Linked DNA regions of Coturnix japonica. The protein of the gene in region 2 interacts with the protein of the main gene of each other region in a biochemical or structural test. Links are inferred from orthologs where the notes say so. Each region holds a gene or a part of one and is shown on either strand. Other genes may lie near its edges. The genes, in order: SHC2 and KDR.

Region 1 (4,406 bases), on a different chromosome or scaffold from region 2:
AGGGGGGACTGACTCTGGGTCTTCACTGTGGGGTTAGCAGTGGCTCCAGGGCTCACCTGGTGAGAGGGCTGAACACGTATACGGCCAGGGAATGCACTGTGCTGGAGACGGGAGTCGATCAGCCCCCCTGGGGGTGGCTCCTTGCCTGGGATGCTGTTGTAGTAATCGTGCTCGGCCACCTCATCATCCTCCCCCCACGCTGACTCCTCCATCCCCAGCACCCTTGTGCAGAACACAGCAGGGGCAGCTGGAGACACAGCCCCACTCCAAGCAAGGACAAGGCACAAGAAAGAATGGAGGGACCCCAGCCCTACCTGTCTGGGGGTACAACAGCCTTGGGTGGGCTGTGCAGGTATTGCTTGAAGCGCAGCTCAAAGGCCTGTCCCACCGTGTTGATGACGCTCTGTGCCAGCCCATCGCAGCACTCCAGGATGTGGCAGGCTGCAAACAGGCAGGTGAATGGACTTGAACCCTCCCCCAGGCTCACAGCAGCCCCCCAAAGAGCCCCCAGCTGCCCCTCACACCCCACCAAGAGGTGCCCTCCTCCAGCCCAACTCATCCCTTCTCCATGCCCCGGGAATCAGCATCACCTCTCTGGTTGATGGGGTCCTTGGCGACGTAGGCGACATAGTCCGTGGTGTCCTGGGGACACAGAGGGTGTTTGGGGCTCATGTCCTGCTGCTGTGTGTAGAGCGGGGCTGAGGCTGCCAGTACCAGACTCAGCCCTGACTGCTCCAGCCCCAAGGACTGGGCTGTCCCTGAATTCTGGCTCAGTCTGGCCCCACCATGGGATGGGCAGCCCCACGTCCCCACTCCTTGAGTGCAGGGCTGGGACGTGAGAGCCTCACCATGTCCCCACCGGAGGCAAAGGAGATGGACTGCATGTGGTGGTTGGCGATGATCTGCAGGGCATGGGGAGGCCATCAACACCCAGCTCAGAGATAAGGTTGGAGGCAGAGGGTTGGGATGCCTGGCTCTCACCTGGCGCGTGGTAGGGATCATGAGGTTCAGGCCATCAATGGAGATGTTGACAGCGATGCTCATGCCTGCAAAGCGGAGGTTGCTCTTCCCAAGGATGGAGAAAAGGGCTTTGCTGGGAGCCTGATGGGGGACAGGAGCACAGGGGTGATGTTGCCCTTCCAAAGAGCCTTTATGGGGTGGGGAAGACACAGAGTGCCCAACACCCCAGGCTCTGCACTGGGATCAACCATAACCCCAACCCTAAGAAAGCAGAGAGGGAATGGGCTCAGGTGGAAACTCACCTTTTTCTTCCAGATGCCCTTCACACCCGGCACTGCCTCGTACAGTCTGTTGATGGCTTCTCTGCAAGCCCCAAGTCCCACAGCATTACCATTGCAGATCCCAGCTGTTTCCTGGCTGCTTCCCCTTCCTGTAGCTCTGGGAGTATCATCCCCAAGCAGCCGCAATGTCCCCCAGCCTCCCCCAGGGTCACAGGGCTGGTGGTACGTCATCCCCACCGGGGCCACCTCCCTTCTCCTCTTTCCACCCATTGATCCGATGCCCATCACTGCATTGCTGCCTCTGTCTAAGCATATGGAGTGGCCCCTACAGTTCCTCCCAACCTCAGCACCGACCTCAATCTCTGCAGGTCTTACCTGGTGACCTGTGTCCGCGTGTTGAAGTCGAGGGATCTCATGGAGCGCAGCACCTCGATGCATCCCATGTACTGCAGGATGGGAGGGGAGGTCAGAGAAACCTCAAGGAATATCACCAGCCCCAATGCAGGTGATGGAGAGGAGGCAGGTGTCGGTGACAAGGGCTCCTCTGTGTAGCAGTGGATGGCAGCCAGCATCCCGTACCCACAGAGATGAACATGTGGATGGGGAAAACCGAGGCTCTGAGCACTGTGCGGGGGTGGGTTGGTCCAGAGCAAGGCCAGCGGCCTCTGGGCCCACTGACCATTTCTGTTGCCCTTGCACTGAGGATGGAGACCCAGGTGATGCTGTGCAATGGGCTCCCACCATGCAGCATCCAGGCCCAGGGATGCACGCCATGAGAGCACAGCACTGCTTGGCTACAGGGGCTCCCCACGTTGCCCATCCCAGGACAGAGGAGTCATGCCCAGTCCTTCAAGAGTCTGGGACCGTGTCACAGGGATGGGTGAGCAGAGGGAGCTTCCAGCTGCGGGCTTGGGGCTTCACACCTACCCGCACCAAGCAGAGAGGAGCGGGGCTGGCAGCACTTACCCTGACGATGTAGGAGACGCCAGGACCCAGCACCCGCTCGTCGGGATGCAGCCAGCCCTGGGCCGGCTTGTTGATGAAGCTGCCCTTGCGATTCCACTCATCCCCGGCCGGTCGGGCTCCTTCCACCCTCGCCGCTTTCCTGGCAGCCCCGGCCCCTCCGCGCAGCCGGCTCATCACCTGCAGCGAGCACGGAGCCGAGCAACCCGGCTCGCAGGCTCCGAGCACGGCGGCCAGGCTGGACGTAGCCCCCCCGGACTCCACGGCTCCTCCCGCTTTGGCCGGCGAGGAGAGCTCCTTGCTGGAACCCGAAGGGCTTCGGCTGAGGAAACCACCGGGACCGGGGAACTTCCATTGGGGCATCCGAGGCAGCAGCATGCAGAACGTGGTACCCGCCTCCGGCTCCTCGCTCGCAGCGGGGCACGGCTGTGCCAGCCCCGGGGCCGCACCGGGATGCGCGGGTGCCGGAGCCGGCATCGGGGCGGCCGGAGGATGGCGTGGCCGGGCCGCGGCCCTCAGCGGCTCGTCTCGAAAGCGATCATACTTGGGCTCGGGGATCATGCCCCGCCGCCCCGGCCGAGCCGAACGTTCCCGTTCCGGCGCCGCTCAGCGCCCCGCACCGCTACCGAGCCGGCTCCCGCCCCCCACCCGCTCCCCCGGGGCCGCGCAGCGCTGATGTCATGGTGAGAGCGCTCCGCCGCCCGCCCCGGCCCCTCCCGGCTGTCTGAGCATCCCCGCCTCTCGCCCTCTCCGGCCCCACTGCCCGTCCTTGCAGCCCCCCCCCGGCACGGGCAGCCCGGCCCCGGCAGCACCCCGAGCCCAACCCGGTACCCTATAGCATCACTCAACCCCGAGATCACCCCGCATCACCCAGCCTCGAGCCCCTCCCTGGCACCCCCCAGCATCACCCGGCCCCCAGCCACCCCGGCTGTGCTCCCCTCTGGGCTGCTGCCAACGATGGGAGCCCCAAAAGAGCCAACTGAATAGTGGACACCCGAGGATGAGGTGGGATGAGCTCTTTCCTGCACAAAACGGGCTGCCTGTGCTGACAGATGCCCCCCTCCCATGCCAGGGATGCCCCCAGTGGCCAGCAGGCAGCTTCTGGAAGGGGCCAGCAGCATCTGGCTGCTGCCTTCACCTGCAACGGGTACATTATCTCCATTCTTCTACCACTCCATCACCAAGAAGCATTTGCAGGGTGCCTGAGGCTGCTTGGGAGGTGGAGGGGTGCAGGGGGGGCTCTGCTGTACAATAGGGCTGGCTTATTTCCGTGCCTCCCAACCCAGTGGTCTTGTCCACTCTGATTTTGTCTGGCTCCCACTTGTTTATATCTGCCTGGAGGGCTCAGGCAGTAAAAAGCACAATCATTTTCTTGCTTCTTTGCCAGTATCTGCAGCAAGCTGGGGGGGGGTTGGGGGGATGGACAGACACATTTAAAGGGACTTTCTGACCTCAAACCATCATGTAATACTCCCCTCCCCCAGCCCTGCTTTTTGTTTTTTCAGGCATTCAAAGGACTCAGACCTCCTGTCCAGCCTGGCATCCACCCACAGCATCTGAGCAGAGGGGCAGGAGGCCAAGGCAGCCTGCATGAGGCATCGCACCCACTGTGGGGGCTCCCAGCATGACTCACACACTGGGGACCAAGCCCGGAGCCACCTCCTCACCTCGAGTCCTCCCTCGGGTGCTGTTTATTTCTGCCTTTCCATTTTCAACTGAGCATCTTTCGAAGGATGAGGACAGAGAGGGATGCTGTGCTGCTGAGGGGTCAGGTCTCTGCCCCACAGACAGAACCAGAGCCTCCCTGGGGGCTCACAGTGACCTGGACAATGCTTGGCTGCCTTTATCTCGCCTTCTCTTCACTGTCTCCTTCTCCCTGGCAGATGATGGGGGTGAAAGCCAGTAATCGCTCTAAGTGCAATCGATAAATCAGGGTAATAGAATTACATACATTTGCTGTTGCCATATTAGGAACAGCATCTCTTAGCTTCTCTCTGCCTTTCTTGCTTTGGTTTTTAAACTGCTGCAAAGTGCTGGAACACGCTGGACTCCTGCAAGCTCCATGGGGCAGCTCCAGGTTTTATTTGGTCATAGCATTGAGCATTCTGCAAGCAGAAGTGCTTGATGTAAGAAAAACAAGCTCTGCTGTCTCCTCATTCCCAGCACTGAGTCTCCCTCCATGTTGCCAGGTTCACATGCACA
Region 2 (3,805 bases):
AATGGTCTAAATCTGTTTAAAAAATTGAGCGCACATCTACAAGGCAGGCAGACACCAAAACCTGGTGCTCCTGGAGTTGTTTCTTCCAGCAGCCACGCTCATCATAGCTCACAGCAAGAGATCCATACCTTGTACAGTGAGGTGCTTCACCAGGCAGTGCTGTGTTTTAGCCTTTTTGTCCTGAGCAATGCAAACATAGTCGCCTCCATCCTGGAGGGAGATGTTACGGAGGATGAGTTCTAAGGTGACATTTTCACCATTGACATTTGAAACAGTTGCGTTCAGCTTCTGCAGAGCATCCAGGTTCTTGCAAACAGGCATGGGCAGCCCTCCAAAAGGTGTCTGTGAGACATGAGTGCTGAGTTTGTACCACGATAGCTTCTCAAAAGTGAATTTATCAGCTGTGCACTGTAAGGACGTGTTATCCTTCTCTGTCAGTTGACTCCGAGGCTGGAGATTAATTTCAAGACCTCCTGCACGTTAAGAAAAATAGAAAAGAAAATTCTTCTGAGGCTGCATGTTTTGTTGCCAACATGGGTTTGAAAAGCCTTTTTACAAATACAGTATTATCCTCATCTTGTCTATTTTTAAATGAAGGAAGAAATCAATGAAAAATCAGTTAACCACTTAGGTAAAGAGTGGTTATTAAAAGCAATAAACTTACATAGATTAAAGAAAGTCTTGTCTACTTAATACAGTTCTTTCAACAGAAACTTCTGCTGATTCTTAACATTATCTTACAGCTCTTTTTTTGATATGGATTTAATATACATGAATATGAGAACTGATTTTCAAGAGGACAGAAGCTCTTTGCCAGCAGTTGTGAAAATTTTAGCCTTAGCTTTTACAGCACATCACAGCTCCTTTTGTGAAACTACCCATATTTTTCTCTATCTCTTTTAAAAGACTACAGAAACCCAACAGCAATCACTCTCGGGTATTGGTGCCCACTTAGTACGATTTTCATGGGACTGCCACTCCACTGATGCCAGCAGAACCAATGTTTTGGTTGAAGTTAGTTGGTGACTTTAAAAACTGCTCTAGGAAAACCTTCAATAAGATTAAAGGATTTTATAAAGGACAAGAATCAGATAATAGTGTAGAAGCACGTCTAAGTAGTAAGAAATACAAAATAACATTAATTTAACATGACTCCTCAGAAAGGTGTACTTACTGGTCACGTGAAAGGAGATGACTCTTTCACTTGATCCAGCTCTGTTAGTAGCCATACATCTGTACAAAGCAGATACATTTGCTGCTTGAATCACAAGGGTGCTTACAGTCTACAAGGGAACAAACAAGAAATTTCATACCACATCAGTGTTAAGGTTCCTTTATGAGTCTGAACACCACAACAGCTCAGCAAAATGCTCTGCTGACTGAAACACTCTCCATAGTATAGTGGCTATACGGTCCCTTACTGATATTCACATGCTTAAGTACATGACAATCAGATAAAAGAAAACAACAAAAAATAGGATATGGTGTTCATGTCCATAAATACTGTACCCACTACTTTTCTGCTCTTTAGTTTTCCTAGCTTTTCCTTATTAACTGACAAAACTAACTTGCCCCCCTTAAAGAAAAGTGCTGAAATGTAAACAGGCTTCACAATGAAGAATTGCTCTGGGGAAGTGTCTAAAGATTCAAGTGTCCATCTCTACCTCTTAGCTTCAATATGAGCTTATATGAGCTTATATGATCAGAGGCCAGATCCCCCAGTTTAACATTACATAAAGACTCCCATCTCTAGTGATACACTTCTGACTGCTGAACAGATCTAGTTTTTCCTAATCAACAGAAAAGAAAATCTTCTCACCTTTGTTTTCCCAGCAATAGTAACAACTCTCTGTTTGATTTCAACCTGATTCCCACCCTTTCTCTCTGAGATCACTTTCCATTTTCTGCATGCATATGGATTGGCTCCCAGGCGAACTTTTCTGAGACAAGAAGAGAAGTGACATATTAGTCCACAGGAAACATTAGTCCTTTCCTAATGTGTTTTTGTGTTTTCCCTATAATATGAAGACGCTGATCAACAGATCAGATGGATCACGGGCTACAGCCTACATTTTGGTGGGAAAAAGTATGTTTCTCGAAATATTTCTATTAAATTCAACCCTGTAACCTTCTAAGACCTTTGTGCTTTGTAAAACAAGAAGCCCCCAAGCTGAAAGGTGAATTCCCTAATTAATCTGCCTGTGTCAGCTCCATCAGGATGCTTGGAGGGAAGCGGCTATTCTGGGAACAAACCTCCATTCATAAATGCAAGATTCGAGTTAATTTAGTTCAAAGGAAGACAGAGAGACATAGAAATCACTGAACTCCCTACAAGAATTTCTTGAGGACAGTAGCCATTGTGTAGGAAACAACCAGGCACCAAAGGAAGAAACTTGTGGAAATCTCTTTAAAAACAACAACAGGAAAGAAGAATGCTTTTTTTTTTTCTTGATTTTTTTTTTTTTTTAAAGGAAACCTGGGCTTATGGCAGACCCAGATAAGGGAAGCTGCGTGAATCTCAGTCAGGCACTCTCTCTATCTTTCCCCAACATCAATCAGTGCACTTCCTTTGAGATACACTTTCACACAGATAAAGAGCACTGTCACACTCAGCGCTGGAGCATAAGACCACAAAGGTCTGCAATTAGCATAAACAGCAAGTTTCCTGTGTTTGGGACTGAGCCCAATGGGAGAGCTGACTGGGGTGGGGGAATAAAAATAGCTGTATTTAAAACCCATCATGGCTCAAGATGCCCTTGAAGAAGGCTTGAAGGCAACAAGCCAGCATTGCCAGCTCCTCACCACAGGTGGCCCCTGTCTCTCAACTCCCTGTCCATGAGTCAGCAGAGCCTGACTGCCTATTGAGTACAACAACCATCTTAGTTGGCAATTGAAGTCATTTTGAGCCTACAGGTGTCATCAGCAAAAGCTCTCTCATGACTTAAGAGGGAGCAAAACCAAATCCTAGGGCTGAACGCTTCAGCGTCCACCACTCTCTGTCCAGTATTTATAATAGCACAGGGAGGCTCCAAACCGCCAGCCCAGCTCAGCTGAGCTCACCTCGAAGCCCAGACACAAAGCAACACCACCGTGAGCTCCCAGCCCCAATACTGCCACTCACTGGGGGCTGAAGGTGCACTCCTCCTCCAGCTGCCAGTACCACAAGACAGCAGCAGGCGGTGGGACAGCATAGATGGTGCAGGTGAGTGCCTGCGTTGAGCCGTACTTGTAGGAGTCAACAGGGGCCATCAGCGCGTTCTCGCCTATCTGGGGGGGAACTGGAAGAGAGAGCAGGATATTACACCTCCCACAAGGCTTCCCAATGGCACTGTATACACACACCCCATGTCACTTTGTTCCTATAGAAGCTGGGGACATCTGAGTGCAGAGCAGAGCACCTCCAAGGAACAATATGCAATGGAAAGTGTTGAACCTGCCCAATGCCTTGAGGATCAGGATCTCAAGATGCCATGCTTAATGTCTCCACTGAGATCTCCCTTCTCTACTCCCATGCTTAAAAGGTAGTCCTTGAGGTCTTGCCCCTATCCCCAGCTATTAAATGTTTGTTACACTTCAGAATTTAACCTCACTGCCCTTTCCAAGACCTGCTGTTTTCAAAGCACAGGAGAAAGGCTGTTTCCTGAGAAGCAGAGGGGAGGAAGAGGAGGAGGGCTGTGTGGGGCAGGCCAGAAGATGAGGGACAGCCGGCATAGAGCAGGAAGGATGGGCGAGGCAGACCAGGGTCAGGATGGAGTGGAGTGGGGGAGGCACCGGGGAGCAAGGAGGACAGGAAAATGACAGGACA

The links.
Region 1: the proteins of KDR (region 2) and SHC2 form a complex in vitro, tested with the Homo sapiens proteins (2 studies listed by BioGRID). The link is inferred for Coturnix japonica from reciprocal best matches to the Homo sapiens genes KDR and SHC2.

What each region holds. Positions count from the first base shown.
Region 1 is NC_029543.1:1,744,444-1,748,849, forward strand, and holds the start of SHC2 (SHC-transforming protein 2), read right to left. Parts: upstream 2,851-4,406; 5' UTR 2,766-2,850; coding exon 2,208-2,765; intron 1,688-2,207; coding exon 1,617-1,687; intron 1,324-1,616; coding exon 1,263-1,323; intron 1,102-1,262; coding exon 982-1,101; intron 903-981; coding exon 849-902; intron 643-848; coding exon 591-642; intron 442-590; coding exon 315-441; intron 223-314; coding exon 57-222; intron 1-56. UniProt on the Homo sapiens protein: Signaling adapter that couples activated growth factor receptors to signaling pathway in neurons. Involved in the signal transduction pathways of neurotrophin-activated Trk receptors in cortical neurons.
Region 2 is NC_029519.1:58,810,425-58,814,229, reverse strand, and holds part of KDR (vascular endothelial growth factor receptor 2), read right to left. Parts: intron 3,279-3,805; coding exon 3,122-3,278; intron 1,941-3,121; coding exon 1,820-1,940; intron 1,284-1,819; coding exon 1,175-1,283; intron 474-1,174; coding exon 129-473; intron 1-128. UniProt on the Homo sapiens protein: Tyrosine-protein kinase that acts as a cell-surface receptor for VEGFA, VEGFC and VEGFD. Plays an essential role in the regulation of angiogenesis, vascular development, vascular permeability, and embryonic hematopoiesis.